3 linked regions of the Caenorhabditis elegans genome follow. The protein of the gene in region 2 interacts with the protein of the main gene of each other region in a biochemical or structural test. Each region holds a gene or a part of one and is shown on either strand. Other genes may lie near its edges.

The links.
Region 1: the proteins of lin-12 (region 2) and sel-8 are reported together in a solved structure, tested with the Caenorhabditis elegans proteins (one study listed by BioGRID).
Region 3: the proteins of lin-12 (region 2) and lag-1 are reported together in a solved structure, tested with the Caenorhabditis elegans proteins (one study listed by BioGRID).

The regions. Positions count from the first base shown.
Region 1 is NC_003281.10:3,620,630-3,631,017, forward strand, and holds the start of sel-8 (Protein lag-3), read right to left. Parts: upstream 6,514-10,388; 5' UTR 6,492-6,513; coding exon 6,436-6,491; intron 1,016-6,435; exon of another isoform or gene 891-1,015; intron 1-890. Other genes in the region: mrps-31 (Small ribosomal subunit protein mS31), read right to left, coding at 7,611-7,974, 8,813-9,247, 9,294-9,455, 9,500-9,594, 9,642-9,737. UniProt on the Caenorhabditis elegans protein: glp-1/Notch and lin-12/Notch proteins promote signaling by recruiting lag-3 to target promoters, where it functions as a transcriptional activator, probably as part of a complex with a Notch intracellular domain (NICD) and the transcription regulator lag-1.
Region 2 is NC_003281.10:9,065,391-9,075,924, forward strand, and holds the start of lin-12 (lin-12/Notch intracellular domain), read right to left. Parts: upstream 6,083-10,534; 5' UTR 5,999-6,082; coding exon 5,850-5,998; intron 4,330-5,849; coding exon 4,211-4,329; intron 2,596-4,210; coding exon 2,539-2,595; intron 1,524-2,538; coding exon 1,333-1,523; intron 1-1,332. Other genes in the region: F02A9.7 (CX domain-containing protein), read right to left, coding at 9,565-9,805, 9,912-10,234. UniProt on the Caenorhabditis elegans protein: Essential signaling protein which has a major role in many developmental processes; involved in cell fate decisions that require cell-cell interactions. Probable membrane-bound receptor for putative ligands lag-2, apx-1, dsl-1 and osm-11.
Region 3 is NC_003282.8:6,096,170-6,106,524, reverse strand, and holds the start of lag-1 (Suppressor of hairless protein homolog), read right to left. Parts: upstream 4,938-10,355; intron 3,809-4,937; coding exon of another isoform or gene 3,743-3,808; intron 3,688-3,742; coding exon of another isoform or gene 3,549-3,687; 5' UTR 2,189-3,548; coding exon 1,426-2,188; intron 358-1,425; coding exon 171-357; intron 120-170; coding exon 18-119; intron 1-17. UniProt on the Caenorhabditis elegans protein: Transcriptional regulator that plays a central role in lin-12/Notch and glp-1/Notch signaling pathways, involved in cell-cell communication that regulate a broad spectrum of cell-fate determinations.

The sequences.
Region 1 (10,388 bases), 5.4 Mb from region 2:
CTCCTCTTTTTTTTTGTGCTTCGTTTCTTCTAAGGGCAAAAGAGCACACACACATACACTCTGTGTCGCCTCCAAGAGCCATATCCTTTTGGTAGAAGGGCCGCTTGGCGGTCGGGATGAGATACTACCACCACCACCATCACCACTACCAGCCGAGTGTGCACTACTCCAAGACACACACACAGAGGACGGACACACGAAAAGAGCGACATACGGGGGGCCGCGTATACCCCCACACAACCACCACCACCATCACCGCTAACGCCGTCATCATTCGACCAGTGTTTCACTTCTTGTCTCTCTAAGTCTCTATTGAGGAATACTCTGTTAAAGTAGAAGAAGACGACGACGTCAGTGACGACGACCCGACCGGCGAGTAAAGAAGGAGAAAAAGAGAGAAAATAGTAGAAGTAGGAACAGCGGAAAGTGTAAGAAGCTGTGAAGTGAGATACTACATACTAGTAGAAGAAGTATTCAGTGACCCGCAATTGCCCTTTCGACTTCTTCCCCCATTAAAAAGGCATAATTCGTAGTTTCGATTCCACTTATTATCCATTATCGCCGACGTTGTCATAATGTGTTCGTTAGATGATGATGATACGATGAAAGTGAGACTTCTGATTCGATCACTCAAAAAAACAATTTCAATTTTCGAAGCGAGCCAAGTAACCAACTGATAACCAGGTCTGCTGCCGAAACATTCGGAAAAAAAAGACAAATGGAAAGGAAAAAAAGGAGAAAAAGAGAAGAGAGGAACGCGCCAAAACATCATCATTTTCGGCGACAACAAAATGATAGTGAGTGTGAGGAGAAGGGCACTGTCAATTATCGATGACATTTTAGGTGGAAAAAAGTAATTTCTCTTCAATAGATCGGGGACATTTGCCTCCATTACTAGATCATCAGTTTACGCGAGAAGCACGATTGGAAGACATATACGAAGAGTAGAAATAAATGAGAGGCGCCCCGCGCGCGATCATCGAAAAGGGGGAACCCGATGGCGGTCACCAGAGCGGTGTCCGTCACCGATGAGGAATTGGAGAAAAGATGGTGGTAGTGGCCACCGCCGCCGCGCCTTCATCCAAAATAATTCATCGTAGATAGATAGAGAGAGAGAGAGACTACAAATCGGTTGTGTTGTGTTCTTCGGGCTTTCAAGTCACCGCATCGTTCCGCTTTTGATTGTCTATGTCTCTTCAATGCAACTTCGTTCTATACTGAATGTGTGTGTGTGCACGTGTAAGAGAAGTCGGTTAGGATATATCATAACATGTCGTTTTTTCCATTTTAACTACCGAGATAGCCACATGGAAAACATACAGCTCAGCTTCGAAATGTATTATACCACGAATTTCGGGACGTTAGGATCTACGTGATCTTTCATTTGCTTGAACTTAGGGCTTCCCTGGAAGGCAGGCGCGGTGTCAGGGCCTTGCGCCTGCCTTCAACCTACCGCCTTACGCCGGCCTCTTGTCTTATTTCTGCAATATGGCTTGAAGTCAAAGGCTTGGTGTTCCAATTACATAGTGCGAAAGGTAGTTCTTCCGCCGCGGCCGACACTTTTCGGGTCCACGCCACACCATACAGAAGGCGCGAGGCAGGCGCGGCAGGCGTTTGGCGCCTACAAGGAAGCCTTGCTTGTACTAATACAACATGGGCCTGATACATCAAAAATTTCCAGAAAGTCTGAGATCCAAATGGTAACTTGGAACTTTCGAGAATTCGTTTGTTTGTAAAAAAAATCCAGAAATAAGCTCCGCCCATTTCTTGGCTACTCAAGTTGATTCTCCTTTTTTGGAATATACATTCCTTGATCTACAGCTTCCAAAAAGCACGACTTGCCTCCGACATCAAGGAAGAAAACAAAAAAAAGCGAAAAGCAATCAGATTTCAATCTATTCTCGAGAATAAATAAAAAACACTAAGAGAACGAGGAGAAACATGTTAGTTGTCCGGTTTCGGAGAAAATTGAAACAAAAGCTGAATATGAGAAATTTCTATATTCAAACTTCCATAAATTTCACGAGTAGTCATAAAATGACGTTGTTGTCTGACAGGAGACACTAATCTTTTAACTTGACAACCTAGTCTCTTCGACCACGTCACTAGATTGTGCCAAGAAATTTACGGAGTCGCGCCGCTCTTTCTCGTGAGCAAGAAGAGAGAAGGGAATAAATAATAAAGCACCGACAACGAAAAGGAGTGTGTCTCGTAGGATGTGCTGGCGAGAAGAAGAAGCGGCAGCAGCAGCAGCAGCTTCGCGAATTAAAAAAACAGAATGACGAAGCAGCAACCACCTCCTCCGCATTGCTGAAACAACAAAAAAAGGAAGGACTTTTTTCCGAAGAAATGTATCTAAACCCATTGTGGGAATAAGCGAAACGAAACGAAGAAAACGAAATAGAAGAGAGGCATATTTCTATACTTGATGCGACGAGCGTTTTTCTCCGTGTGTGTTTATAAACGCACAGACACGCAATCTCCCGTTGTTTCAAATGTCTTCGAGTTGCTTCTCCAGACCGGTGTCATCCACTAGAGGGGCTTCTAAAACCGTTTTTCAACTGGCTATGATGATGATTAATTGGTGGAGCTCGCCGGAGCCAGAAGCGACTAACTTTGATGATGCTACTGATAAAAGGATGTGACGGATGAAATATGGGGTTTTCCAATAGAAAAGCTCGAGTATAGAAAATCAAAAATTCAAACTTTTGCAATTGCAGAGACGGAAAAAAATTTGTGGCCGAGTTTTACTTTTTCGCGGCCACGTAACATAAAAAAGGTGAAAAGTCTTCAAATTCCATGATTCTCAACTTTGGAGTGAATATTTTTGAAAGCCATCCCTGTTATATTTTTCCGAGAAGAAATGAATATTTGGGGAAAAAGTTGGTTCGCAAAAAAAATAGGAAGCCACATGTTTTTCTCGTCGTCGTTTTCTGGTGGCTCGGAACTAAACCGCAGAATTGGCGCACGTGTTTGTTTGTCTGTTTTCCTTCTTAAAGATTATAAAAAGTGAAACATGCAACTGAATGGTCACTACTTGTTGTTTCTATCCACGGAGAGACATAGACGGCGTCAACGATCAGGTCGTAGTGGGCCACAAAACGAGGACACAAACATAAACAAACTCGTATCTGACTGACTGGTTGAAGAAGGAGCAAAAAAGCGATACGGAGAGCGGAGAGATAGCGAGAAGGAGGTCATAATCGTGGCATCCTCACCCAACTGTATGCGGGACGAAGAGGAGGCCAAATTGCAACAATAACAAACCGTGATCGCCTCGTTGCTGCTGCAGCTATGGAGCGAGCGACGAGAAGACGGATGGATAGTATGGAGACACACCGCCCGTAAAAGGGAGAGAAGGAGAGAGACAGGAAGGAATGGACACTGTACGAGTTATATGCAGCGAGCCGATGGATCGATGGATAGTGTGTTGAATATTGAGAGACGCAGCAGCATGGCAAACGACACCTGCACGTGTTTGTGTATGTGTGTGGTACACCCTCCAAAAAGGGCCGTCATAATCGAAGAAGAAGATGAAATTGCCGAGAAGGAGGTATTAACCGGATCAACTCAATTGGCATACACAGGGAAGATTCGGGTACTTTTGATGTTGGAAAATGGTCTGGAAAGTCTAGATCTGGAGAAAAAGTTACTGTGCAAAATAGAGAACATAACTTGCTATATCCTGAGAAAAAGCATTGTATGAACTGTTGGATCTGATAGAATCCCAAAAAAACTTCAGTTAGACTGCTCGGTGGCTCAAACTTCACGTCAGCACTGTGAAATGAAAAGTTGAGAAGTCTTCGTCTAAATTTCCGCAATTCTCGTAGATCTAAGTAGATCAACCCGAAATGGGACACTCTCACACCAAGTGAAGCTTGCTACTCAGATATCTTTTACGTTATCGAAAAATTGTTAACTGATGTCTCTACAAAACTTTGAAAATCTAAATTTTTATAGCAATTTAATTGTACAAACCATGGCAGAATTAATTGAAAATTTAGAATTGTAAAATTACAATTCTTTCAAAAAATTGGTTAATCTGACCGATGGAGAGTTCTGACTACTAAAACCTACAAATATGGATACGATAGCCAGGTGTCCTTCATTTTCAACTTGAAAAAAAAAAGTTTTTCACATTACAAAAATGGACGAATCCAAAAAAAAGCGAGTTGCAGGTGTGTGCAATTATGACACAATGCCTCTTTTTTTGGAATGAATATTCCTGGAACTGAGCCAGTTATTGGCAGCCGGTAATTATAGAGGTCACAGGTGGAACCAGAGGACTTGAGATAAAATCTAGAGCATTAGAAAGAAGATTCTGGAAATTGCAGAGATTCGAGGCAGGGGTGGATGGGAAACGATTTTTCACGGCAAATCGGCAAATTGGCAGAAATTAAAATTTCTGGCAAACTGGCAGAAATGATAATTTCCGGCAAATCGGCAAATTGCCGGAATTGAAATTTCCGGCAAATCGACAAATTGGCAGAAATGAAAATTTCCGCCAAATCGGTAAACCGGTAAACTGCGAGAAATGAAAATTTCCGGCAAATCGGCAAATTGCCAGAAATGAAAATTTCCGGCAAATCGGCAAATTGGCAGAAATTAAAATTTCTGGCAAACTGGCAGAAATAATAATTTCCGGCAAATCGGCAAATTGCCGGAATTGAAATTTCCGGCAAATTGGCAAACCGGCACATTGCCGATTTGCCGGAAAAACGGCAATTGCAGAAAAGTTTCGGCAAATTGTGGTTTTGCATTTTGGAAATATGAGAATTTCAATTCTAATCGGCAAAAACAAAAATTGGCAATTCGCCGGAATTTAAAATTTCCGGCAAATCGGCAAACCGGCAAATTGCCGGAATTAAAATTTGCTTGAAATTTCTAAATTGCAAAAATAATTAAAATACCAAAATTTTGCAGAGCACTTCAAATTAAAAAAAAAAAAACTTCACAATGAAATGCAAGTTTTTAGGTTCAAATCAATTTCAATCTTCTCAATTTCATCTAAGAATTTCACTCAATTGTCTCACATAGACATTTACACTGAAAAGTGCGGACAGGTTATCAAAAAGTCAGTCAAAAGGACGAAAGCATTGGAGGTGCGTGATGAGAAGAGGCGACAACGACCACATAAATGATTTGGCAGTTTAGTCCCGGACGGGCGCCATCGTCGAATTTTAATTGGTTCCGTTGTCTCTGTCGAAGTGAAGGAGATGGAGATGGATGAAATATTGAACAAAAAATGAAAAAGTTGGTGAAATTTAGATTGCATTTAGATAGAGAAAATGAATATTTTTGGGTGAATTCTACTTCAAAAATTTCTAGGAAAAGTGTGTGTAAATACGGATAATAGGAGTTTTCAAGGAACACTGTCTAGGGTCAACTTCTCAAAAAAGAAAATAATAATATATTTTCAGAACCAATTTTAGAAGGACAAACTAGCTCAATTTTCGAGGTTTCTCGGCAATGTTACAGGCTTTTTCTTAAATAGAACAAAAATTACGCTTTGAATGGGAAATGCACCAAGAATTGGTGAAAATCCTCGGGGAGTACACGAGCTGCGTAAATCGACACGAGGTTTTTTATAGACTTTCATGGTTTTTTTTTTCAAAGTTGGGAATCATGAATCACACCAAATGTTACAAAAAAAAAGTATGTGATTTCAAATTTTTAAATTGAAACTATTTTCTCCTTTTGAATTTTTTTGTCAATATTCAAAACAATATTCAATTTTTTCAGCAATTTTTCGGGAAAAAACATTTAAATTTTTTGGCATTTTTTAGTGGAATTTTTTTGTTTTCTGCTACCAACAAATCTTAAAAGTATAAAAAATTTTATATTTTTCTCGCTAATTTCAACTTTTCATCAAAAATTATTGTGTATTTTCAGCAAAAAATTTATTTTTATTTGCTGCAAATTTTGCTGGATTTTTTTTTTGGTTTTTTAAACAAAATTTGATTTTTTTCAAATTTTTTTTTATCAATAGAGTGATTTTTCTTGGTAAATTTAATTTTAATTAAAAAATTTCAATTTTCTTAAATGCGATTTTTTTTCCAAAATTTTTTAGCAAGAGAGTAGTTTTTCTTGGTAAATTGTATTTTAATTATATAGTTTTAATTATCTAAAATTCAATTTTTCAGGTAGTAAAATCCAGTTTTCTATACGAAAAAGCAATTGAAATTTTTTTTTCAAAAGCCACTGGAAGTTGACAAATTCGGCAAATTGCCGGTTTGCCGGATATCAGATTTGCCGGAAATTTTTAGAAGGATTTTTTATAAGACGGAACCCTGAAAACTGTGCTTTTTTGATATTTTTTCCTATTTTTTTATTTTCATAGAATTTGCTTATTTTTTCGGAGTAAACATGTAAAATTGAGGCAATTTTTAGGTAAATTTTTTCCCGGAAAATTCAAAATTAAAGAGAAAACCGCACCTTGGCTCCGAAATAAACATCTCCTCAATCACAAAGAATTCCGAGAGATCATCCATCGACACATATGAGAGTTGATGCCTGAAAAAGAGCCCAAAAATTGGAGTCTCTGAGACTTTCATACATTTTCCGCTTCATATATTTCTTACTCGCGGGGATCTATCCACCAAGTTGTTCAACAAATTTCAAGAAACAAATATTTTGGATAAATTTTGTTGGAAAAAAAACTCTGGGGGTACACAATGAAAAACAGAAAATGATAAAGAGATAAATAACAATTAAAAGTGAATCCTAAAGAAATAAAAAACAAAACAAAAAAAGAAGAAGAAAAATCCTATTCACTATTAAAAGATAGAGTACCGAAATCAGATTCAAAATGTCCCAAAACTTTCGAATTTTATAATGAAAAGTTCCGAAAATTTCTCAAAAAAAGGTTTTCGCAGTTCAAAGTTATGGAAAAATTCGTATTTTCAGCAAAAAAATCAATTTAAGGTTTTTTTTTTGGTTTTTAATCTAAATTCGATTTTTTTCCAAATTTATTGTTTATCAAGAGTCGTTTTTCTTGGTAAATTGTATTTTAATTATCTAATATTCGATTTTTCAACTAATTTTCTACACCGAAAAGCCTAAAAACTTTCGGAACTTGTTGTTTATTTAATTAACACCTTTTAATACATAGTTTAATTAATTTAGATACATTTTCAATTGATGGGTGCACAAATTTTATATAATTTTGTGCGCTCTCAACGAGTAAACGCGTAATATATTACTAAAATATGCATTAAAAGGAAATAAAATTAAAAATTAATTCCGCATATTGATTTTTGTTTCGGTTTTTTTCTGAAAAATAAATCAAAAATTCTGATTTTCTTTGAAAAAATCAAAAATTCTCAGATTTTCTATGAAAAAAAAATTGAAATTTGTTTTTACTTTCCCGGAAAAATCGAATTTTTTAAAAATTTTCTCCGAAAAAAATCGGAATTTATTACATTTTCTCAGAAAAACAAAATCGAATTTTTCAAAATTTTCTCAAAAAATCGCTTTTCTCTGAAAAACATCGAAATTTTTTGAACCACCCTAAATTTTTTTTTTGAGAAATTTTCAGAACATCTCATTGCGAAATTCGGGTTAAATTTCGGTACTCCACCTTCAAACAAAAATTTAAAAAAAAATTAAAATTAAAGAGCATTCTGAGCAGCAATCTGTTCCTGTTCGTGAAGTTTGTGAACCAATTTCTGTTTTTCCGTATTGAAATAATCAGCGAACCACTTCAAATGTTCCCGCTTCTTCGCTGCTGTCATATATGGATTCTTGGATAAACCAACACAAACCAAATGCATAAAATGAGCAATTGGACCAGATTTCGGGATACCCAATGATGGTAAATGTCTCTCCAAGAATACGTGATCAATGAATGAAACATTCGATTCATCGCCCATTTTGAACTCATTATCGATTGGATATTCCCATTGTTTTCCTTTTGTTGTCCATTCGATTTGTTCTTCGAAAGAATTTGTTGGTCCGAATGAGCCGTTGGAAATTCTGAAAAAAAAACGGTTTTTTTAAGGTGGATAATGGATTTGAATGATCAAATAAGTAAAGAAAATTATAACATTTTTCTACATTTTTCCAATTTTTCTTTCAATTTTTCAACACAAAAAAATGCCAAATTTCATGAATTGATTGACTTGAAACATTTTCTATTTTTCGTTTTCCTTTTTTGAAAATCAAAAAAAAATTGTTTCTCGATATTAGTTATTTTTCCGATGTTTCAATTTTTGATTTTTTTAATTAGCTGAATTTATGATAATTTTTCTTCTTTTTAAATGACATTTTTATGTTTTTCATCATCAATATGAACAAAATTAGATAAAAAATCGATTTTGATGGTTAATTTTCTGATCCAATTTTTTTTTGGATTTTTTAGAAAACCGGCAAAATTTCGTTAGTTTCCGTGAAAAAAGGAAAAAAATATCGATTTTTATATAATTTACATAAAATTTCAGACAAAAATCACGAAAAAACGATAATTTCAGCCGGAAAATGCGAATATTTAAAACAAAATTTTTTTACAAAATTGAAAATATCACGCAAAATTTAGAAAAATCTTTCAAAATTTTTAATACTTAGTTTTTCTGATAATTCACTAGTTTAAGCTAAAATCTTCGTTTTTGTCAACTTTTTCGCACCATAGCGACTGGAAATTGTTTTTATAGAATTATGAAGAAAAAACCAACGAAACAACGTTAAAAATTACCAAAAATGTGTGAAACAAATCGCTGCAAAACGGAAAAATTGAGAAAATCTGAGATTTCAGCTAAAATTAGCAATTTTTATCAAATTTCGGGATTTTGAGCCATTTGATTTCATAAATATCTACCTTGCAGCTCTTTCATCCCATTGTTTCCAGAAGCCAAGGGAAAAATCTTCATATTTTTCGCCCTTTTTCCAGATTCCTAGAGGCTTCTGATTGAACAATTTAATAGCATCATTGTCAACTTTCACAGGTTTACGAACAGCACTACTAATCAAATCATCCTTGTAAATCTTTTCCATAAATTCCAAGGCCATCGTGAACAACTTCTGATCCTTCTCACTTCTCTCCGTCTCTTCAACTTCTTCTTGTTCCACCTTTTCTCTAACATCATTTAGAAGAGCTTTTCGCTGCTCTTGGAGCTTTATCTGTGCTTCATTGACAATTGTCTCTGATTTGACACGAGCTTCTTCTGTCGTGAAGCCACTTTGAACTGCCTGATAGAAAATCTCTTTTCTGAGAAGAACAAGTCCTCGTTTTTCTTGTCGAAGTTGAGCGGATCTGGAAAAAAAATGAAATTTGTCACGGATCATTGAAAATGGCTCACTTGGGAGGAAGCTTCTTCTCAACTTTGGCATCGCCCGCCACATCGGCAAGAAGTCCGATAAGTGCCTGATCATCGAGCATTTCACTGCTTGCAGAAGCTGCGGCAGCATCAAAACTCGCTTTTTCGTTTGCTACTAATCGATTGATCAATGTATTTTTTAGTCTGCAAAGTTATATTTGAATCTTTTTTATTATTTTTCACCCTACGATTTCTTTTCGGAGCCATTCTGCGGGTGAATATTATTCGCTACTCCTTCAATCGCATTCAGCAAATCCTCATCAATCGCGTCTTTTGCACCTTTCTGGAAGAAACTGGTTTAAAACTTGAAAAATGAGCCGGAAAACTTACACCATCATTTCCATCGCCCGAAGCTGCGCTGGACAGCAATCGAGGTTGTCTTGCACCGCCAAGTCGAACAGCTATTGAGCACAGACTTCTCAGCATCTGAAAAATCAAATAAAAATAATATTAAAGACTTAAAACTAGAAAATATTGACGAAAATTGCTCGAAAAAACAGCGAAAAACTTAAAAAGAAATATTGGCTAAACAACACGCGGGTGCGGGATTTCGGAGTATCGTCGTGTGTACTCCTCTCGGGGTTAGTTTTTTTCTTCTTTTTTTCTCCGTCTGCCTGCATTTTCCCGCATTTTCCCACGCCTTATCGCTATGTTTTTTTTGACAATTTGTGTTCTTTTTGATTAAAATGTTTCTTATCTGAAATCAAAATGTTATCATTAAATAATATGTAATAGGAAAAAAAACAGAAAAAAACAAAACATTTTTTAAAAAAGATTTTTAATTTAAAAATCAGATATTCTAATAAAAAGCCAATAACATTACGCATCTTTTAGAGTTCTTCTTTTGGAATTAATTGCCACAATTTAGATGTCCTCTACCCGGCCCACTGAAGCTGTAAACTTCCGATTTTCTTCTTGCATCCATCTCCAAACAAATTCCCGTAGAATCTAAAAGCGTTCGGCAATTGTTTATTCCTTTTATTGCAAGAGTTCTCTTCTTGCAATGAAATTGATCGGTCAAAACAAAACATGAAAATGTGCTGCTGCTTCCCCCGTTACTCAGCTCTGCGAGCCCTC
Region 2 (10,534 bases):
TAGATTTTTTGAAATTTTCAGTATAAATTTTGGCAAACTACTGATGAAATTTCGCAGCTCTACAACGTTTTCACAAAATTTTAAAACATGAAACTTGTTGAACAATTTTTTGGCAGTCTTCCAAAATCTCCAGATTCACTACATATAAGCGAAAACTGACCAGTGAGTGATTTTTACTTTCTGACAGTATGAACTTTAATTTCAATTTTCATTGCTCTACTTTGACAGCTAATATCTCGGTTTTCTTTAGCTTCATAAAAAATTAATTAATTAAGAAAAAAATATATATAAATAGTCGAATCATGTTTTTACTGTTAAAAATGTTTTGTTAAAACCAAAAATAACCGAGATAAGAGCTGTCGAAGTTGAGCAAAAAATACGGTACTTTATTTTGAAATTCGTTTAATCTTTTTTCCAATTTTTAGTCAAAGTTTTGGCAAATCTGAATTTTTAAAACTTTAAATGTTTACTTCAAATGACATGATAAACAGATTAATAGTGTTTGAATTAATGTAACTTGTTGTGGATTACCGCAAAAAACCTAGATCTATCAAGGTAATATGTTCTTGTGTTACATCATGATGTACAAACATTAACCGGAACCGTAAATTATTCTCCCCTTATTATTCATTTTCTTATAATATTTGCACGCCCTTGAATCTCAAATATTCTGAATCACATACATACACACGCACAAAACGAAGGGCGGCAAATTTCTTTGTCGTCACCCTCGCCCGGGCAGTACGCGCGTGTCGGTTCGCATCGCCAGCTGCAGAAAGGACTACGGTAATCGATGGGAAACTATGCAATTCTAGAATTGATCTGGATTTAGCTTCAGGCAACACTCTAGGGATGTTCTATTCAAATACCAAAAACGGTGTCATACATAGTTTCAAAACCTATTGTATTGGTAACTAAAACTTGTGGCACAAATATATATATATATATATATCAACCAAGGACTAATTAGTAAAGTTTTAAAAGTTATATAAATTGCGTTTTACGGATTCATGTCAAATCCTTATGTCGAAAAATAGAGAAATTTTGTTTTCTGTCCGGAAGTATCTATACCTTCAATTGGAATTTTAATGAAATTGCTGAAAACTGCCGCAAAATCGCAATGTGCCAAGCGTTATATGCCGATTGGCATTCTAATATTTTTGTCGGTTTTTGAGAAGCTTCCCAATTCTTACTATTAAACGTACAGATATTTTGCGATTTAACAAATATTGCTCTATATTTTTATATAAATTTCTTGCAAAAACTGACAAGAAGTTGGGTGTCTTAAAAGTGCCTACTCTATATTTTCTACATAATCATAAATTAACCAACCGTATTCATACAAGTACTCCTATTTCCACATGCATTTTTGTTCTCTTCACATTCATTGACATCAAGTTCGCATCTCTCCCCCTTAAATCCATCTGGACATGCACATTTTGCTCGATTTCCAGCTCCAATACACTGTCCACCATTCATACAGACAGACGGGTAACACCATCCTTGTGTCTTACAGTCGTCTCCTGAAATGCTCTACAGTAAATCTACAGTAATCCTTAGTTCGTTAATCCCTATATTTTGTGGTTTCCCACAAGTATCAAATTCGTTCGCAACACAAAAAGAGGCACGGCAGTTGACATACATCACATCAAAAAGTTTGCCGACGCACCATGACAAACTCATTACAATCTTTAGACTACTTTGTGAAGGTAATACCGCGAACAAAATAGTTACTTGTTAGAAAATTGGGTTTAATTGAAATTCAGAAACATCAAGGATATCTCGTATTTCATGGAAGTTCGTATACCGTATTTCTTTTAACTTTGACTGCTTATATCTCAGTTGTCGTTTGTCCTATTTGAAAAATGTCAACGAAACATTTTAATGAAACATTTTTAATTTTTTCTACAGGTTAGTACTTGGTTATTAATTGATATTCAAAGATGTACCGAGATATAACCTTTCAAAGTGAAGTAGTCACAATTTCTTTTCTGAATTAAAATTTTTTATTACACTTTTAAATATATACCACTGCCTATTGCATGCCAATTAAGACATATCTTTAAGATGAGACTAGGTGTCAATCTTATTACTAAAGGAAACACGCAACAGTCATGATCTTTTAGATTATATCAATCCGACAACAGGTGGAGCACCTAGTCTCAGTGGGGTTTCCTTTCGGGTTTGCAACTACTGTGGAACGTGTCAAAAGCCCCAATAAAAGTATACCGTAACCTAGAATGTTTTGAATCTGAATTCATTTCAGAATTCGTTTCCCACGACCTTCTATTATCAAGACGTCAAGAAGACGACCCCCAGTAATTATAGAGTCATTTCGAAGATGATCGGTGTTGACGGGAAAGTCATACGGCTACAGTAATCCTGTCTCTGTTAAACTAACTATGCCCATCAATAATCCGTTAAGTTTGCTCAAGTGTACTGTGACGTAATCGGAACCGATAATTACAGGGCGCTATTAGTGGTTTGTTACACTTGTTTGTTCGGGTTATTGTTGCATTAGAATATGGAAGTACTTACCTCCGTAACCGGATGGACAGCTTGGTTTTAGTAGACTGTTTCCGTTAATGTCGCAATCTGAAATTTACTATCATAATTATTCTGTATATTAGAAAAAGTTAAGTCTAGGATATTTTTGTGTTGAACTGGAATAATTATCTGAATGAATAATTGTACTACAATAATCACAGTTCCCTACAGTATCCTGCATTACCACTACAGTACACATACAACATGTATCCACTAACCTCATTCCAATATCCTTTCAAAAAACAAAAACACTTTTTCAGAAACTACAGTACTCCTACATTACCCATATGAACTCAAAAGCAGACAGTTATTTTTAATATATAAATTGATCTATCCCTGTAACCATTCCACTTGTATATTTGCTTATTAGCCTAGTCGTACAATAACCAAATGTATACTTTCCCACGTCTGCCACTTCTTCTCCGACAGACTTCTGCTACATCAAATCCTATATACTATCATCATCTGCTCATCATTTCTAGGTCATTTATCCCACTTTTTCCCAAGAATTGGCAACACACACGAGGCGCCATCGGGTCGTCGCCCAATTCACCGCCCTCTTCACACATACCGAACATCAGACATAAATCGCGCCAAAAAGAAGCGCATCGACAATAGAGAAGCGCGCATGAAACAGAGAGGCTAGGAGGGGCAGATGACCTAGGAGCTATCTATCAGGCACCTTACGCGGTCACTTTTAACGCCGCCAACAAGACAAATGAGCTGAAGAGAAATGGAAAAAGATTGGCCGCGCTTCAATTTGTCCTCGATACAAACGAGTCATGATGAAATATTGAGGTGTTTGGTTGCCGTAACTTTGTTAAATATCTACTAACTACAGATTGATGAAGTTTGGAGCAATACTCATAAATGGTTTAACGGAAAACGATTAGTAAAATTTTTGAAAGTTGGGAATGGTAAGCGCATAAAGTTTAAAGCATAGTTTTCGTAAGCTTTCGAAATATGAGGAAATGCCTGCCTGGCTACCTACAAGGCAGCCTACGTCTGTTTCGCATAAATTACACATGTAGCCACAAACTTCCAATCTTCTAATGTCTTCAATTTTTGTTGAATTTTCAACATCAATCTACAGCAAACTACAGAGTTCAAGCTAACATTTAAAAAATTAGACGGTAGGCCGGCAAGTCAGCGTGAAGCAGACATTTAGACCTGTATACGCGTTGCCTATAGGCCTATTGCTATTATACCTGTGATAGCTTTAACAATGAGTAAGTAAATTCTTATTTTTTAATCTTCGAATATTTCGTTTAGTCTTAAAAATGATACAATTCCTAGTTTCTTAACTTCCATTGAATTTTCAAATCCACCTATTCACTTTCAAATTATTATTCACCCCCAACTTTGTCAGTTGTTTGCCACAATTCCACCAGGCATGTGCTTATGATGGATGGTGTGGTCAAAAAGATGACCGACAAAAGGGCGCGCGCAGCTGACCCTAGTTTTGGAATTTTGGGCCAAAAAAACATTTCATTCGCAACACCGCCACCATGGAGGGCTAAAAAAAATGAGTGATGGGTGTTTAGGTCCCTATGGGAATTGGGCAAAAAAGTGACCACTACTGGCTCATTGGTTTTGCAGGAAAATGAGATGCAATGGGAAGTGTTGTGTATAAGTTATTCAGCTCGAAATTACATTATCTTACCTTTACAGACACAGGTCTCCATCCGATAATCTTTGTCAAAAACACATTTCTCATCGGCTCCACATTTTGAAACATCACACTGTTGTTCACAATATTCACCACCAAATCCTTCATCGCATCTGAAACATTGGGAAGGGTTAGGGTTAAAGATTAAAGACGTCGTGCAGCCGAAAGGCACCGTAATCCTATTGTTTTATGGTTTTATGACAACTGATGGTAGGCTCACTCGACAGTATGTTTTGCCGACAAAACTGGGAACACGGCTGTAAAATTGTGAGGTGGCAACTGAGTCCTCATTTGTGATAAGATAAGCAATTTTGAAGACTATTCTTTTTCTCATTCAAAGTCTCAAAATGCCGAGTAAAAGTGGCATTCGTTGCAGTTTTCCGAAGTTGCCAATTGAAAGTAAAGCAATTTTCAGAAAGTGCAAACATTTTTCTATACTTCTATTTAAATTTTCGGGAAAAACTTTGACAGATAATACATCTGATAGGGAGTTCAAAACCAGCTACAGTAATCTTACAGTAACCCCCCATTGGTCATTTCTTTTGGGAACTTGGTCATAAATCCTACCCCATTCTTTTTTGTTTGATAAGAAAAATGTGGAAGACCAGTATTTTTTTGTCATTAAGAAGAATTCTCCCCTCAATTTCCCGTATTTTTCGGTTTTCCCATGGCAATAAACTACCGATTTGGGTGATTTTTTGGCGGCGGTGCGAGACCAGGAGGGGGAAAAGCTGCTTCTCTTTCGCATTTTAATGAGAATCTCAGCGGGTTAATTGCCTGGTTTTTCTTCGACTTTGAGACGAGAATTGGCAGGAAAAAAATGGCTGAGAATTGCTTTTCTGAAGTTGATTTATCCAAAACCCGACTTTTTCCAACTTTCCCATAACACCCTGAAAGTATTGTTTTTACAATATTTTCCCTCACTTTTTCCCAAAAAAATTGAAAGTTTTTTCTACAGCGAGGGACGACGCAGGTGTCTCCTCTGTGGGGTTTTTTCTCTCATTACTCGCTCATTTCTCTTGTTGCGCAAGTTTCGTAAATGGTGGGAACCCGTGCGAACAATGTCCTCCTATTAATTAACATCAACTATAAATTAATGGTGTGTTGTTCAAGTGACACGTGTCTCTACTTGAACCATATCACCTATCTTATCAGGAGCTAGCTGCTCAACGGAGAGCACATGCCGCTATAAATCAAGACGGATTACGTAATTATTGTTTGAAAAGGGCATGGATTATGGAAGAATAGTCTACTGGTACAAACAATGTTTTGTTATAATTTACAGTACTTCTTTTACTAGTATTGCACCTAGCTACTTAACTTTGTAAAGTTATAACTCGGTTAATTTCAAAGATATAAAAAGAATTGCCGTATTTCCTCTAATAGTCTTGAATAAAAGAATAATAGAGGAAATACGGTAACTACAAAACGGTAGCAAGAGAAATAACAAAAATTTGGTCAGTTGACAATTTTGTAAAGGAAATCCCATAATTCCTAGGAATATTCCTTACCCCCAATTTATTGCGTATTTTTAAGATTAGTTTTCAAAATGTGTAGATTTGTATTATTTATTTTACGTTGAATTAAAATTTGAAAAAATGTTTAAGTATTGTTAAGCAAAATCTTCACATACCTGCACCAATAAGAAGTTTGAGTTCCATTGACAGGTCCAGCATGGCAGTGACCATTTCTTCCACATATTAAGCCAAGACATGAGCCAATATGAAGCGATTTTGATAACGAGATAAGAAGAAATAAAAAACAAATCGTAGGGATCCGCATTTTTTGAAATTGAGCAAAGTCTGTTGAGCAATAGGGCGGACAGAGACAGGAAATTAGCTTTTAGATATGGATCATGTAGGTTCTGAAAATGGTTTTGAATTATTTAATTTAGTGAATTCGTTGTTTGAAAGTTGACGACAGTAAAACGGTATAGAAATGCAAAGGATCGGACCGTACTAATATTGCACCCCTGTTATTTAGTGTTGACAGCTTATATCTCAGTTGTCATTTGTTCTAAATAATAATTGTCAGCTGACAAAATATTTTTTCCATTGTGCAGAAAATCAGTTTTTGATATCATCAAAATGAGCGGAGATATTACCTTTCAAAGTAAAGTAGTGAGTTGCAATACTAAAAGAGGAATACAGTCATCGTCAACTAACAAACAAGGGCAAAATAGAAGGAAACAGGATCAATTCTTAAAACTATAATACTTGGCTCGAAACATTTTAAATATTTCGTGAGAGCTGTAGGAATATATTATTACCAATAAACGAAACCTAATAAAACCCAAACCTGGTAGCTTTTGCATTATCATTAATTAAGGATAAATAAATGCCAATCAAAAAATGGGTGGCTATTGTTATGTCTTCACCCAGTAAAAAGGACGAGAGAGGGCGAAGGGGTGGGGGTAGGATGAACACAAAAGAGAGAGAGACAGATGGCTCCGCCCAACTTGTTGCGGTCGCGGTGCGGCCACCAAGTAGACTTTTTTTTCATCGAGAAAGAAAAGGAGGAGAAGATGATTTTAAAATGAAACGACGATGTCAGATGGTTGGATGAAGTAGAAGTAGGAGGAGGTGGAAGAGAAGAGAGTGGGAACGGAAGGAAGAATGATCAAGATGAGGAAAACGAACTGCTGGGAACGTATGGTGATTTGCGGCTTTTGGGTCTTTGTGTGTCAGTTTTAGAGTTTTATTTCTGTTTATTTCTGTTTATTTCTGTTTATTCGGATACTTTATAGTTTTTAGTTTTATACATCAATACTTGCAAAAAATTTCTAAGCTTTGTTCAAAAAGTAATATCTTGGTTTTATCCATTTAGGAACAACTGTAAGATTGTATAAATGATTTTTAGCCATTTTATAGGCGGAAGAGATTTTTCATAGCTTTTCCTGTTCAAAAGCTGAAAGAGCTTGAAAATACTAAACACATCGAGTAAGAATTAGAAAAAAAAACAAATCAAAATATTGAACACGCTTTTTCCAAGGTGTTTTCTAATCTCTCTATTTGAATTACCTCCAAAACGAGAACTGCATGGCCAATCAGCAATTCGCTCTGCCCATTCTTCAACCAATCAGATTAAGTATGGAAATTCCGAAGTCGCTAATTGGTTCAAAAGTGGGCGTTTGTTTTTGGCGGGAATTCAAACAGATTTGATCATTTTTTGATTATTTTTTTAACTGTTTCACACAATTAAATATAACCTTATTCTCGACAATTAATTGCTATCTGAACCAAATTTGTTGCAAAAATTCACGCATAGTTGTTGCTACCAATTAACTACTATTTTCCCAAAACACGGAAATGATGGATGAGCCAACAGGAGCACAGGTGTCTGTTACTGTGGTGTCATATACATGTGACGTGACAATCAACCGGCAACTTTGAACTGTCGTCGACGGATTAGTCTCAAGACCTCTTGACTTGATTTATTGGCATGGGAACCCGCCAAGGAAAGGTTTCAAAAATAACAATATTGTTAATAAATGAGTGTAACATTTAAGAAAACATTTAAAAATGGCATTAACAATAGCTCTATAAAAACCTGGTTTTTTAGAAGGCCGTTATTAATTATCAGCTTTGGTGGTATTTTGTTTTAAAATAGTCAAATCTTAAAATTACCACAAAAAAGATAATAGGAAATCTTATGAAAATGAAAAAAATGTTGCTGAAGAAAATTCAAATTTCCGTTATATTGTGAATGGGGCTACCTTGTTCTCCTACTTTTATTTGCACAAGTGCATCATCATCTGTGTCCTTCTATCTCAACCATTCATGATTATTTTGTGTTTTAGTTGATTTTTTACTGATTGATCATGCATCTAAAAATAATGGGAAAATGTTTTCAAAACTAACCTTTTAGTGGGAAATTGTGAGATTATTAGCGTGGGCGCATGCCTCCCCAAAAAATGTTGTTATCAACGTACGTAGTAGTAGAAAAGAAGCCAAATGGAACAAAACGAAAAAGAAAAAGAAATCGAAAATATGAAACAAATAGAAAAGAATCAACATTTCGGCACAAGATGGCAGATATTGAATATTGATTGATTCAGGTACACTTATACAATCTCCAGTTGCACAGGTGGAATCGTCATATTGGACAATCTGGCAATATTTATATACACGAAGACCTTTGTCGATGGTTTATTGCTAATTCGATTACAATTTTGAGTCATTGTTAGGAAAGTAGAGGTTGCAGATGTTTATTGATCATTTCATAATTTTTATTAAAAGTTTTTTTTCTCTTTTCTGAAAATTCAATCCGATTTCAAGCATGCTAACTTTGAACATTTTTAGATTTTTCTAAATTTTCAGTCAGTTTTGGTAATTGAACAAATTTTTCAAAATGACTTTCTGAGACATTTTGAGCCATGTCGCAGAAACCCTTACAATGCTTGAATATAAGCCTTTGAAATATAATTAAAATTTTAAAAAATGATGGAAAATCCATTTTTCATTCTTCTGGCCAACTTCCGAAATCATGATATGGAAAAACAGAGTCATCTACACTTTTCGACTGGAAATGAATATCTTAAGATTTAAGATTTGTTAAGATTTCGAAATTTACTTGAATTATAATGTTCAACAGCTTTAGCACTAGAAAATGATATTTTCTCATTTCCCACTGGTGTTACTCCAAATTAAGTTGAGCATAATAACTTCTATCATTTGATACTTTGATTCAAGTACGGCTCCTTCGAAATTTCAATGCATAAACTCGCAAGTTTAGAACTCCAGAAAATGTATGAGGTTGGTTAAGACCCCAATTTCTTCTTCCGGTTTATTTGTGCACAATGATGTAACACGAGAGAGTGTTACCATAACTTTTCTCGACTTTATACATTAATCTACAGTAATCCAACAGATACGTGTTATGTTAATCCTTCCGGATTCTGTTCAACATATAGTGAACTGACTGAGTTAATTTTTAGGGCAATAAATCAATCTATGTAACTGTTTGAATGAATCTATAAAACTTGGGTTGGAAACTTGGGTATTTGACATTTTTTATGATTTGCCATCATTATTTAGAAAGTGCTTCAAAGAATCACCGCTTTGTTATTTATGAAGAAAAACATTTTGACCTCTTTAATACCACAAATATTTATTCAAAAATATTATTCAAAAAAGAAAACCGGGATCATACTCTGTAAAAGTGAGAAATAAAACATCATATTTCCAGTATTCGTCTGCTCCCTACAACTCGAACAGTTCATATCGAAATTTATTAATTTTAATAATGTTTGATAAAAAATTGAAAAATTTTCAAAAGAAATGCCGGGAGTGAGACTAATAGAAGAAATGCGACAGATATCAAATTATATACAGTAAATCGATTTTTTTTCATGCTCCGACACCAGGCGCATTTTCATTTTTCTTTGACATATCCACAAGTTCCAACGATTTATAGACTTGTGACTCAATCTTCTTCCCATTTAACTTCTTCTTTGTCCATTTGAAAATAGTATCAGCAATTCCACTGATTAGCAAGAAGAATAAGAAACCAAGTAGAACAAGAGCACAGCACCATTTATCGATTTTTTGATTGTATTCGGAACGGGTGTGGTCGACGAGACAGCTTCCTCTGAAAAGTTATATTTCCTATTGATTGTGAATATTGGAAGGGGAACTAAAGATTCAATGAATCTAAATTGAGAAAACACCGAAATTTCCATTGAAAATAAACTTACTCTGGGCAGAAATAGTGTCCAATAATCATGAATCCATCTCCTTTGTGATAAAAGGTCTTATTAAGATGACTAACCCAATCCAGATTCGTTGTCACCGGCATAAAATCAGTGGAATTGAAGAAATTATCAATTTGAAACTCGACTCTTTCCACTGGAACATCAAAATGTCTTGAAATCTGTGCAGTGTTCTCCATGATACTGTAGTATTGCATTTCATTGTCACGGAATGTTACGTGGCAGTAAGAGTCACAATTGATGACAATAAATAAATGAAATTGCGAGATTACGGTAGGTAGAGTGAAGATCAATATAAGCACAATCATGAGGTGCGGTTGGCTGGGAAAAAGAACGTTTAGGTGTTAAATGGGAACCATAACCAAAAAATAAAAAAACGAAGAAAATAAAACGGGACCGAAAACCCATAACACGGAAGGTGCTCCATCTCATAAAAATACAAAAATAAAATTTTATTTTTATATGGGATGACATGAAATGTGAATAAATAATAAAATACAGTAAACTCGGGAAAACGTTTAGAAATGGCTCAGATAAAGCATGGGACTTTCATTTGAGAAAAAGTTGAATCATTGTTTACAAAAATTTACAAAATTTCGCGATTTGAA
Region 3 (10,355 bases), on a different chromosome or scaffold from region 2:
CTTCCTTTTATCTTTACCTTTTCTCATTTCCATATGACTTTTGGGCAACTTTGGCATGGAAAATCGATATGACGCATTCGTACTTCTCCTTGTTTGACAAGAAATCAATCATTCGATCGCTGAAAAAAAATATTATTGCTAACATTAAATCAATTTTTTTTTAAAAAAACCTTGTTAACGATTGAACAGAATCTCCAATCAAACTGTGAAGACTTCCGAGTTTCGCTTGAAATGCCAATTGATAGTTGGTCATCGGATTGGCAACCACTGTTGACGGAGCTCCAAAACTTGAATTTGAAGTGTCCAGGAATGATGATGTGTTTGGAGTTGACTGCCCGATTGTGTAGAATGGATCAGCTGGAAATTAAATAGAAACTTTCAGTTTAAAGCAGATTTAAACCAAGTTTTATCAAAAACCCACCAAATTTGAATATTCCGCCCAAGTTTTTTGAGATATTTTCTACTTGACCGCTGGAATTTCTAGAATTCTTACGGTCGTACGCTTGAAATCTATTATTCTTGAAAGCATTTACAAGCGAGGCCGTAGTAGAAGCCGTTGTAAACGAATTGAAATCAAAATTGAATGGAATTGAGAAATTCGGAGGCGGAAAAGTCGGAGCAAGCGGTGGTGCCACGGAGCTCGGTGCTTCGAGATTCGTGAGTGTAACACCATCAGATGCAGTTACTGTATTGCTAGTGGTACTAGATATCACACTAGTTGGCACATCATTGGAAGACGACGGAGCCCCACCAACCCCATAGTAATAGGGATAATACGAATAGTACGGGTTGAGCATCGAGAGGAATGTTCAATGTGGGATGGGATAGAGGTAATACAATAGGGATTGAATAAAAACCAATGTCTGTGGCCTTGTCGTTTTAAATATGAATGTGTGTGTGAGACACAGGAGAATGATAACGATGTGGGTGGCGCCCGGTCTTTTAGCCGCCACAGGAGAGCCGTTGTGCATAATTTTGATTCTTTTTTGGTGTTGCCGCGACGTGCGCCCATTATAATAAAATAGTATTGGCACACAGTGCGGAACCCTTTCAGTGAGACCTCAAACGAGATGCGAACTACTAGTAAAATTATTTATGTGAATAGTTTATTACAGACTGATAAGGGTGAGAAATTCGAAAAATTATCACATGATAATGGTGTTAGGAATGTTTTGACTTTATAGATTGAGTTGAGCTATCTCAGAACAAGTTTTTAGGTTATTGTACTTGTTATACTAGTTCTATCAGTATTTCACTTCATTTTTAAATAGCTTACATCTCTGTTGCGAAAACTACAATAATTCTTCAAGTGACTACTGTAGCGCTTTGTCTATACGAGATATTTCGGCTAACAAGTTGCAAAATACGAATTCTCAGAATTTACGTAATCCAATTAATACCTCGTTTATTACTAATTTCACTCACCAAATGCTGGTTGTCCTCCATAACTGAGAAGGTGGCTTGGAAGTGGGGAATTGGTAGAGACGACAGTACTGCCAAAGTTATGATACGTGGGTTGCATTTGCATTTGAAGCCACGCGTCTGTTGAACTGAATCCCTGTTGTGCTTGTGGAGGAGGTGGTGGTGGTGGAGCATGATAGTAATATGCATCAGGAGTCGGATAACACATTGATGCAGCTGCACTTAGAGAAGATGATGAGCTATCATATCCACCAGATGATACCATATCAGTTAAACTTCTCGATAGAAGTCCATCATCACAATATAGATGTGGATGATGATGCTGATTGAGTGATGCAGCAGCTGCAGCAGCCGCCGCCGCGGCTACTGTAGACGCTGTCGACTCGGAAGAAGCTACCGAAGACGACTGATGATAATCCATCCCGGAGTGTCTTGGCGTTGAGGGCGACGATGGGACCGATGTGGATGGGTGGCGCGTGAAAGTCGAGTCTTGAAGGGGGGTCTTCGCGGTGCAGAAGCCGCTCTCGTCGTGGGATATCCGATGCGAAGATTCCCACCGAGAATAGTAGAAGCTGAATATTGTGGGGGAAAAACCGACGGTGGGGCTGGCTGTGGGTTTGTGAAGAACGAAGCCGTCTGTCAGCAAGAAGAGCACACAATGAAAAGGAGAGCGGGTGGGAAAACGAATAGTCTCCTCTCCTTTCCTTTCCTCACTTCGGTTTTCTTCCTTCTGCGACTCACAATCGCCACGCCTCCACGAAAACATTCTTTCTCTTCTTCATATAGTCTATAGCTTTTTCTGATGGAAAAGCACACAGAAAGACAAACTGGTAGATGGGCGGAGTCAGAGTATCCAATCAGAGAGAGAGAGCGTTGAGCTCTTCGGATATTTCATGACTGAATAGGTGAACGCTAATTGAGTGGCATCTGGAAACAAAGACGTTCAAAATTGAACCATCCTAATATAGTAACGGTCGCTTTCATTCACTTTCACTCATTTACATTAAATCTTAATCCTCACTTGTTGCCTTCCCGATGTACCATGTGTATACACAGGTGATCTCTTTGTTGCGTTCCGTCGTGGTGGTGGTGCCTCTCATCACACGAGAAGAGTCAAGAAAGTTATGGGATAACGATAAGACAAGAGGATCTCAAGTGATTCATGAGTGTGAATCTTCGTGTGAAAATCGATGGGTTGGTTGGTTGGGGAAAATTCTCGGGGGATGACTGATAGGGAAGAGTGCACATTCAGATATATGGAAAATCGGAATTTCTGGATTCTTGGAGACATCCGAATTAAATCATATCTGTCGAGTCAACCTACAAAGGGAACTTCTTACTATCTTCTCTATTGACTAATACACCTCATTTAAATTGCACTACGGCCATTGTCCACTGTGTGCTCAATTCAAAGAGCATGATGGTACCTCCAGGCACCTGTCGACCAGGTACAGTACTTTTCCTTGATAGCTCTCTGTCTTTGATCTATTTCATTCTATCATTATTCGTGTGAAGTGAACCATCTGCGTAACTCGATTCCTTGTGGTCTCTTGTCAAATAGAGATGAGCACCAAAAGTTCCCACATGAATATGGACAACTATGCATATTTTTATTCACTTCTATATTTATTTCACAGAACTGTGTCGGTCTCTTCCTTTTTGTTTTCCGTTGATTTCCAAATCATAATGAAAACAAGTTCCCCATCAAGCGATTCTCGAATTTTTCGTGCTTCGAGAGAGAAATCATTAGAAAATCAAGAAATCGTAGAGCTCCACACAAGAAGTCTAGGGAGAGCTGAGCTGAGCCGTCGGCACTGCTCAAATTATCGATCGACGTGGGAAAATTCGACGGGAAAAGAGAGTGGGCTTATGAATTAGCCACCAGTCGATGCAGCTAACAGAAGCACACGCGCGCTCACACTCTCACCATTCGGCGGTTTTCAGTTTCCCAAATAACAAGGGAAAGGGAAAAATTTTGAGGGAAATTTCAGTTGGAAGAACACATTTGCAAGGGAAAATCAGAAAAATGTATCTGATACGACTTTTTTTTGGGGGGAAAAAATGGTCTAGAACATGAATTTTGAAAGTTTACATATTTTTTAATTTTGAAAATTTCCAAAACTCACAATTTGTCGGCGAATTTTTCGACTGATCTTGCCCATTTGTTCCTTTCGAAGTTGATGCGACATCACTGTGGCTACTCGTACTGGGAGAAAGTCTCATTCGTTTTGCCGATGGAGATGCGAGTTCTGGAGTTGGCGATTTCTGAAATTGATATTATAACATTTTAAAATATAAGAATTTATTAGTGAAAACTAACCGATATAGTGTCAATTTTGGGAAATAAATTATTCTGCTGCATTTGAAATGTCATCAACGCTTGTATCTGAAATAAAATAAATCAAAAGTTGATAAAAATATCGAATTTTTGAACTCGAACACAATGGGGTGACAATCAATAAATGCAGACGTTGGGAAATTACAGGTCATCTCCGTACGCCTTTTTTGTCTATTTTAAATTATTTTAGATTCTAATATAGTTCAAATAACTAATAATTATAGTTTATAAAATTTAAAATTGCCCAAAATATTGAAATTTGAAAAATTCTTAGAAAAATTTCCAGTTTGTAACTTTTTAATGAATAAAAAACTAGGAATTCAAAAATAGGAACTATTTGGGAAATACAAATTTAGAAAATGTTCTCTTGAAATATTGATGCAAGTTTATTTTCAACATTATATATCTGAAAAGTGAGTCCCAGCGACAATACGAGAAATGTTATGGGAGAAAACTAAAGGCTTTTGTGAATATTTTTCGTGCTTCGGGGGACTGGGAAAATTGATTGATTCGATTAGAAATGATTTTGAGAAATTTTGTGAGAAACGGTTTTTTCTGAGAATATTTAAGCAAAAAACTCAAAATACATATCTAAAAATGAATATTCTTATAATATGAAAGGAAGGAAAAAAGGGCCTAATGATAAAAAAAAATTCGACTTTTTGGAAGTGACCAAAATAGAGCCCATTGTTGAATTTTTCCGTAGGGATTTGGGATTTTTAATATTTTGCCGCTGGTTTCAGCGACTTTTTAGCGAATAGTTCAGTTCTCATTTTTAGGTGTTTTAATTTTAAAAATACTACTCCATGCGCCGTTTTTTTCTTGAAAATCGGAAACTTATTGTCAAGTTTTTTCGAAGGGGGAGTAGATTTTTTGAGTTTTTGCCGAACTATACAAAAGCTGGCCTGAAACGAACCAATTTCATAACGAAAATTCTCAAAAAAAAAACCGGCAATTTTTTGAAAAGTCTCGTTATGAAATTGAAAAAATTGAAAAAATTCAGTTGTTTCGGGCGAGTTTTAGTTAATTTGACCAAAACTGTAAACTTTAATACCCCTTTAACTGGGCAACATGACATTTTTACTTTCAATTTTTTATTTATTGCTGTAATTTTGATATTTTCCGAATTTTTAGAATTTTCTGATGATTTCTACTACCAAAATAAATCAAATCTCACCTGTTGAAGTGCGGCAATTTGGCTCGGCGCTGCAGCGACACCGGCCAGCGGCGATACCGACTGGAACATTGCTTCTGGAACTCAATGATACGTTGTTTGAAATTTCGATGGATTGATTACGAACTTACCTATAAACTTATCCAGATTTCGTGCGGGTTCACCCAGTCTGAAAATTAAAACTTTAATAAAACTTCATGGAAATTATCCAAAGAGGTTTTTAAACAATTAGAGGGACGTGTCAAAAAGGGAGCACCTCCGAATATAATGCTCTCGGAAGAAGAATGAAACTGCCGGGGAGACACATACACGAAGAATCGACAAAATCGGGAGGTGTGCGTATGTTTTATCACTTCTATTCCCACCACTTCGACCTCCGCCTCCGAATCGATCATTAAATTTTGTCGTCGATTCGGAGAAAAGAATATCGGTAAGGAAGCAGAGGTACGGTACTTGTGCGACAAAACGGAGCACCCACACATATTATATTCGTATACGAGAAGAAGAAGTTTGATGGGTTTCGGCGGGATTTTTATGTCGGAATATGGTAAGAAACAAGAGATCGGACAACTAAAAAAGCAGGAGTGTGAAGCTTTGAAACGAGAATAGAAGATCCACGGAATCACTTAAATCTAGTATTTTCAGATTGAAGATGAAATTCTGAGAGAATCCGATCATGAAAACGATTATATTTGAAGCGAATACTGTATTTTTTTCAAATGTTCTTCGAGTTTTAAGTTTGAAAATGACAAAATTTTGAGATTTTCAAACAGTTTTTTTCAATAATTTTTAAATGCATATATGTTTCTTTGATACTGTAAAAGGTCATAGATGAGTACGAATTTTTGGGAAAGAAGAAATTAGCCTTCGAAATCAAAAATAAAATTTTGAGACGAACAATGCTAATATGGAAAAGAAGAGCAAAAAAGATTTGAAAAATTGCGGTAAAATCTGATTACAGAAAGAAGCTCGAATTGAATAAATTTCTCAGAATCGAAAAAGTGCGTTAATTCTAAAGTAGAACAAATTGCTTTGAGTCGGATAACTGATATAACGAATTGAATGCTCAAAATACTTTCCTTTCGACCTATCGAATGCTCCAATTCCATGAATTCTAAAATTTATCCTCAAATCTGAAAAAAATGCACTCGCAATTATTTTATTTTTTTACAAACAAAATACACACAGATTTTTTAATTTTTTTTGTATCGTATATGTCTGATATCTAATTTCGCCGCCCTCGTTTAAATGTGTTTACAGTTATAAGTTCCACATTTATCACCACTTTTTTCTCTGCAAAAACACTTTTTTGGTGATGAAAATGTGAAGAGACCGACCTATTTTTCGTATTGTACATTTTTGTGTGATATGTGGATTGGATGCGCAAGAGGAGGAAGAAGACGGTTACAAAATGATGATGAAAATTGCCATAAAACAAATGATCTACGACAACGGGCGGGATGAACACTTTCTTTTTTCTGACTTTTCAACACATCTTATTGCAGAAAATATTTCCACGCCCAAAGCCGAGAAAATGATCAATTTATCGAGGGAAAAAAAAGAGTATTGACTGCGTGAAAAACAGGTTTCTAATGATATCAACTTGAACCTGCAGGGGGATTCCCCCGTTTTTATTGGTGAGACAGAAGAAACGTGAGAGATTGTGATGATAAGAGAAGAGTAATTAGAGAAACAAGACAAATTATTTTTGGGAAAAGAAATATGACATCGATCAGATGATTGTAATCAGCTGGAGAGTAGGGTCTTTTTGATTTCGAAATTGTTCAGCACATTAAAAAAAATTGAAATTCCTATACAGTTGGCTGGCCGCTTCTGGATTAAAAAAAAATTTCCTTATTCTGTACTACCGTTATTTTAGAGAAAGGAGGAAAATTTCCAAAAAGTACTAAAAAGCCGATTGGAACACGGAAAATCACACCCCAGATTGAAATGGGGTCTATTATCGAATTTTTCTGATCGGATACTTCCTTTACCTTTATATGTATAATTTTTAAAGATCTAAAAAGGGAATTTATGAAAGAAGACAAGAAAATTGAAATACGATAAAGGGGGAACGAACTTTCTTACTTTGAGTGAAGTCTCGTGTTTTTTAACTTTAATTGTTCATTAAAAAAGAGAGTTTTGGATTTCTGCGCAACTTTTAACAATTTTGTGTCTTTCCAATAAAAAAAAAAGAATTTTCTTATTCAGCTCAACAACTGCTCGGCTTGAAAAAACCTCCTTATTCAAAAAGTCAATCACACAACTCCTTTTTTGAACCAACCGACACTCTCTCTCTCTCACGCCTAATAACTATTTTAATCTCCAATCTAATCGGACACTTTTACCACCTCTAATGCACCGAGAGATTCGGATTGTGTGTCGGTGCAGGTGCAAAGTATGGAACAATTTATAAAATTTACAGTGAAATAACGACGATTCGAGTCTCTAATTATTACAGTACTAGAAGCCAGTGAAGAATCATCAACGGTCGTCAAGGAATAGGTGATGAGATAGGAAAGTGTTGCTGCTGCTGCACACAAACACGGACACATAAAATTGTTATATTGAATAGAAAAAGAAGACGACGGGGTCATGTTGGGTAATCGGTAAAAGAGGAGCTGCTGGAGAAGGTGTGAGAAGAAACGCAGAAAAAGTAAACATAAAAGAAAAGAGAATCAAAGAAGAGAAATGCAACATGTATCCACGAAAAGGTAATGTTCCTTGGAATGGTTGATAAATAGGCGAAGTTTGAAATACGAGAGGATGATCTTAGAGGTGTGAAGGATTGGAATAATTCAAATTTTTTGTACAATCTAATGAGGAATTATTATTACCCAGATCGTGACGAGACCTGCCTTCACGATTCCAGCTTTAATATGATTACGATGTAGAAAATTCAAATACTGGCATAGAATATATAACTAGTTTTCAAATTCTACAGAGAAAATATCGAAATCAAAAACTGAAATTCCAATTTGTATCCAAATAAATAGCTCTTCAAAAATCAGGAAAAAGCATCTTTCAGATATTTTTTTTAATCAAAAAATTCGACCGTCACCGCGTCATGTGCGAAATTGCCCAGAGCATCATGGGAACCTCAACATCAAAACATTGAGAAACTGACTGGTACTGACCGCCGCCGTCGCCAGCGACACCTCAGTCATGACATTTTTTGAAAATGTATACCAGCTAAACAAATATGGAAATCAGTGTGTGACTGGAAAAAAAGAACCGCCGAGGGTGGCGTCGGTGGGAAAATGTCCACACAAGACGGCGCGGCGTAGAACGAACGAGAATATGGGCGGGCAGGACGGCGGGTTCGGTAAAATAAGAACTGTGTGAGAAATATACACGGGAAAACTATGATAACAATTCAAAGTTGATAACAGGAAGAGAGCAAGAGCAGGAAAGTTCTCCGTTGATTGTTGATATTTTGTCAATCAAGGTATGATTCTTTACGAATTAATGGAAAGCTTTTAATTTTTATTTTAGGCTTAGTAATGTTGTTTTCTAAGCCTAAAAATGAAAATAGTATTAAAATGAACATTCACGTGAGAATTAAATTCGAATAATTCAATGATTGGAATATTCTTCTGAAAATGCGGGGTAGAAAAGGAAAAGTACCAAAATAATTTTTGAATGTCGTATAATCATCTGGAATCTAGAAGAAGCATGCCTGTAAGTTAGGCTGTAACACCGAGATACGAGAATCTAGTCAACTTTAAAAGTTACTGCAATTTCTTAGTACTTTTCAATCTTCCCACCAGTTGGGGGGGTTTCCCAGGGACGCATCATCTTGTGTGCGTATGTGTTGTCTCTTCATTGCCACAAAGACAACCCCCCAACCACACCGAAGATTGTTGTATTCCCACAGAGACGCAGTGAAATAAAGAACCAAAGTCATTGGGAAACTTTTAGAGAGACAGTCCGTAGGAGTGCCCCCAGTCTCTTATCACTGATCAAGAGGTACTGTAGTTCTAGTCTAGCTCCTAGACGAGCTAGAAAGTTCGGAGAAAGCCTGGATGGAAAAACAAAATGCTTGAGAGAGGAACGTGTGAAAGATGGAATATCGTGGGAAAAAGCGACGAGTGGGAAAAAAAGGTTGGCCTTGTGGGCTGTGTCGGTGGTCGGTCGGTTGCGGGGCCGTTTGCAGACGATGAAAAGAAGGAAAAAAGAGAGAGGAGAGAGAGGACACACTTCTCAAAATGTCTGCGCATCTTCATCTCATATACTATTCTTGACAAGTAAAGAGGGACGGCCTCCGGGCATTCTCTCACACTCTCTTTCACTCACATATACACAGACAATGTGTGAGAAAGGGATGGCGAACTGGCCGTTGAAAAGAGAGAAAAAGGGGAGGGAACTGGTGTGTGTGTGTGTGTGTGTGTGTGGTGGGAAAAACGAGCGTGGGAAAGTGTCGGCGGTGGCGGCTGCGACAGAGGACGATGACGGAGAGGACGCCGGACAGGATGGACGTAGGAAATAGTAATGAAACTGGAGAGAATGATGGAAACATAGAACGGGCACGACCTTTGTCGTATGGGAAACTGACGGTTCCAATATGATACTCCGAACTTTGGAATTATCATGCTTTTGGAGATTTTTATTGGCGATTTGAATATTGTAGAACTTGTAGAAATTAAAAAAAAAATCAGATCTGATCCGGAAAAGCAAATTCCTGGCAGTGCGGAATGTAATTTTCCAAATATTTCGGTCCGCTTTTTGTTTCCTGAAATCAGTACGTTTCGTGTTTTTTTTTCGAGACTCAGCTTGGAATACAATATACAAAAAGAAAACCTGAGACTTCGCAAAAAATTTGAATCTAGAAAGAGGGAAATCTTGTTCAATAGCATCAAATGTGCTGACCTAAACAGCTGCAGTTGGTGATAGTTTCATTTTCATTGCTCTTCAGATTTCGGATAAATATTGAAAAAAAAATCCCCATTCTTTTGAAGAAACATGATTTATTATTTTCAAATCTAATTTAATTTTGGCATCAAACATAGAAAAAGAAACACCGTTTCATAAAAGTGTGCATCCGTGGGTTTACACTTTATCTAGGATGAGCTTTTCCACAATCTTCAACGGATTATACTTAACCTAGATCTCACACATTTTAGCTGTACTTCCGCTGAATTCAGATATAGGCAGCCTCCGAGTAGAAAAATGGATTGAAACGGAAAAAAATATCACACGGAACAGTGAAGATAACTTGTCAAGAGATTTTAGACTGGGTGGAAAAAGAAAGGAAATGAATATACCATTCTTGGTCGGTATTCAACCATTACTATGTTTTCTTCAATTATCTCTCATTTTTTGTTCCCGTACTAACACGACTACTTTTTCTACTTCTTCTTCTTCTCCTGGGAACGATTGAAGGACGGCCTTCCCATTTCTAAAAAAAGGAACGAAAGAAAC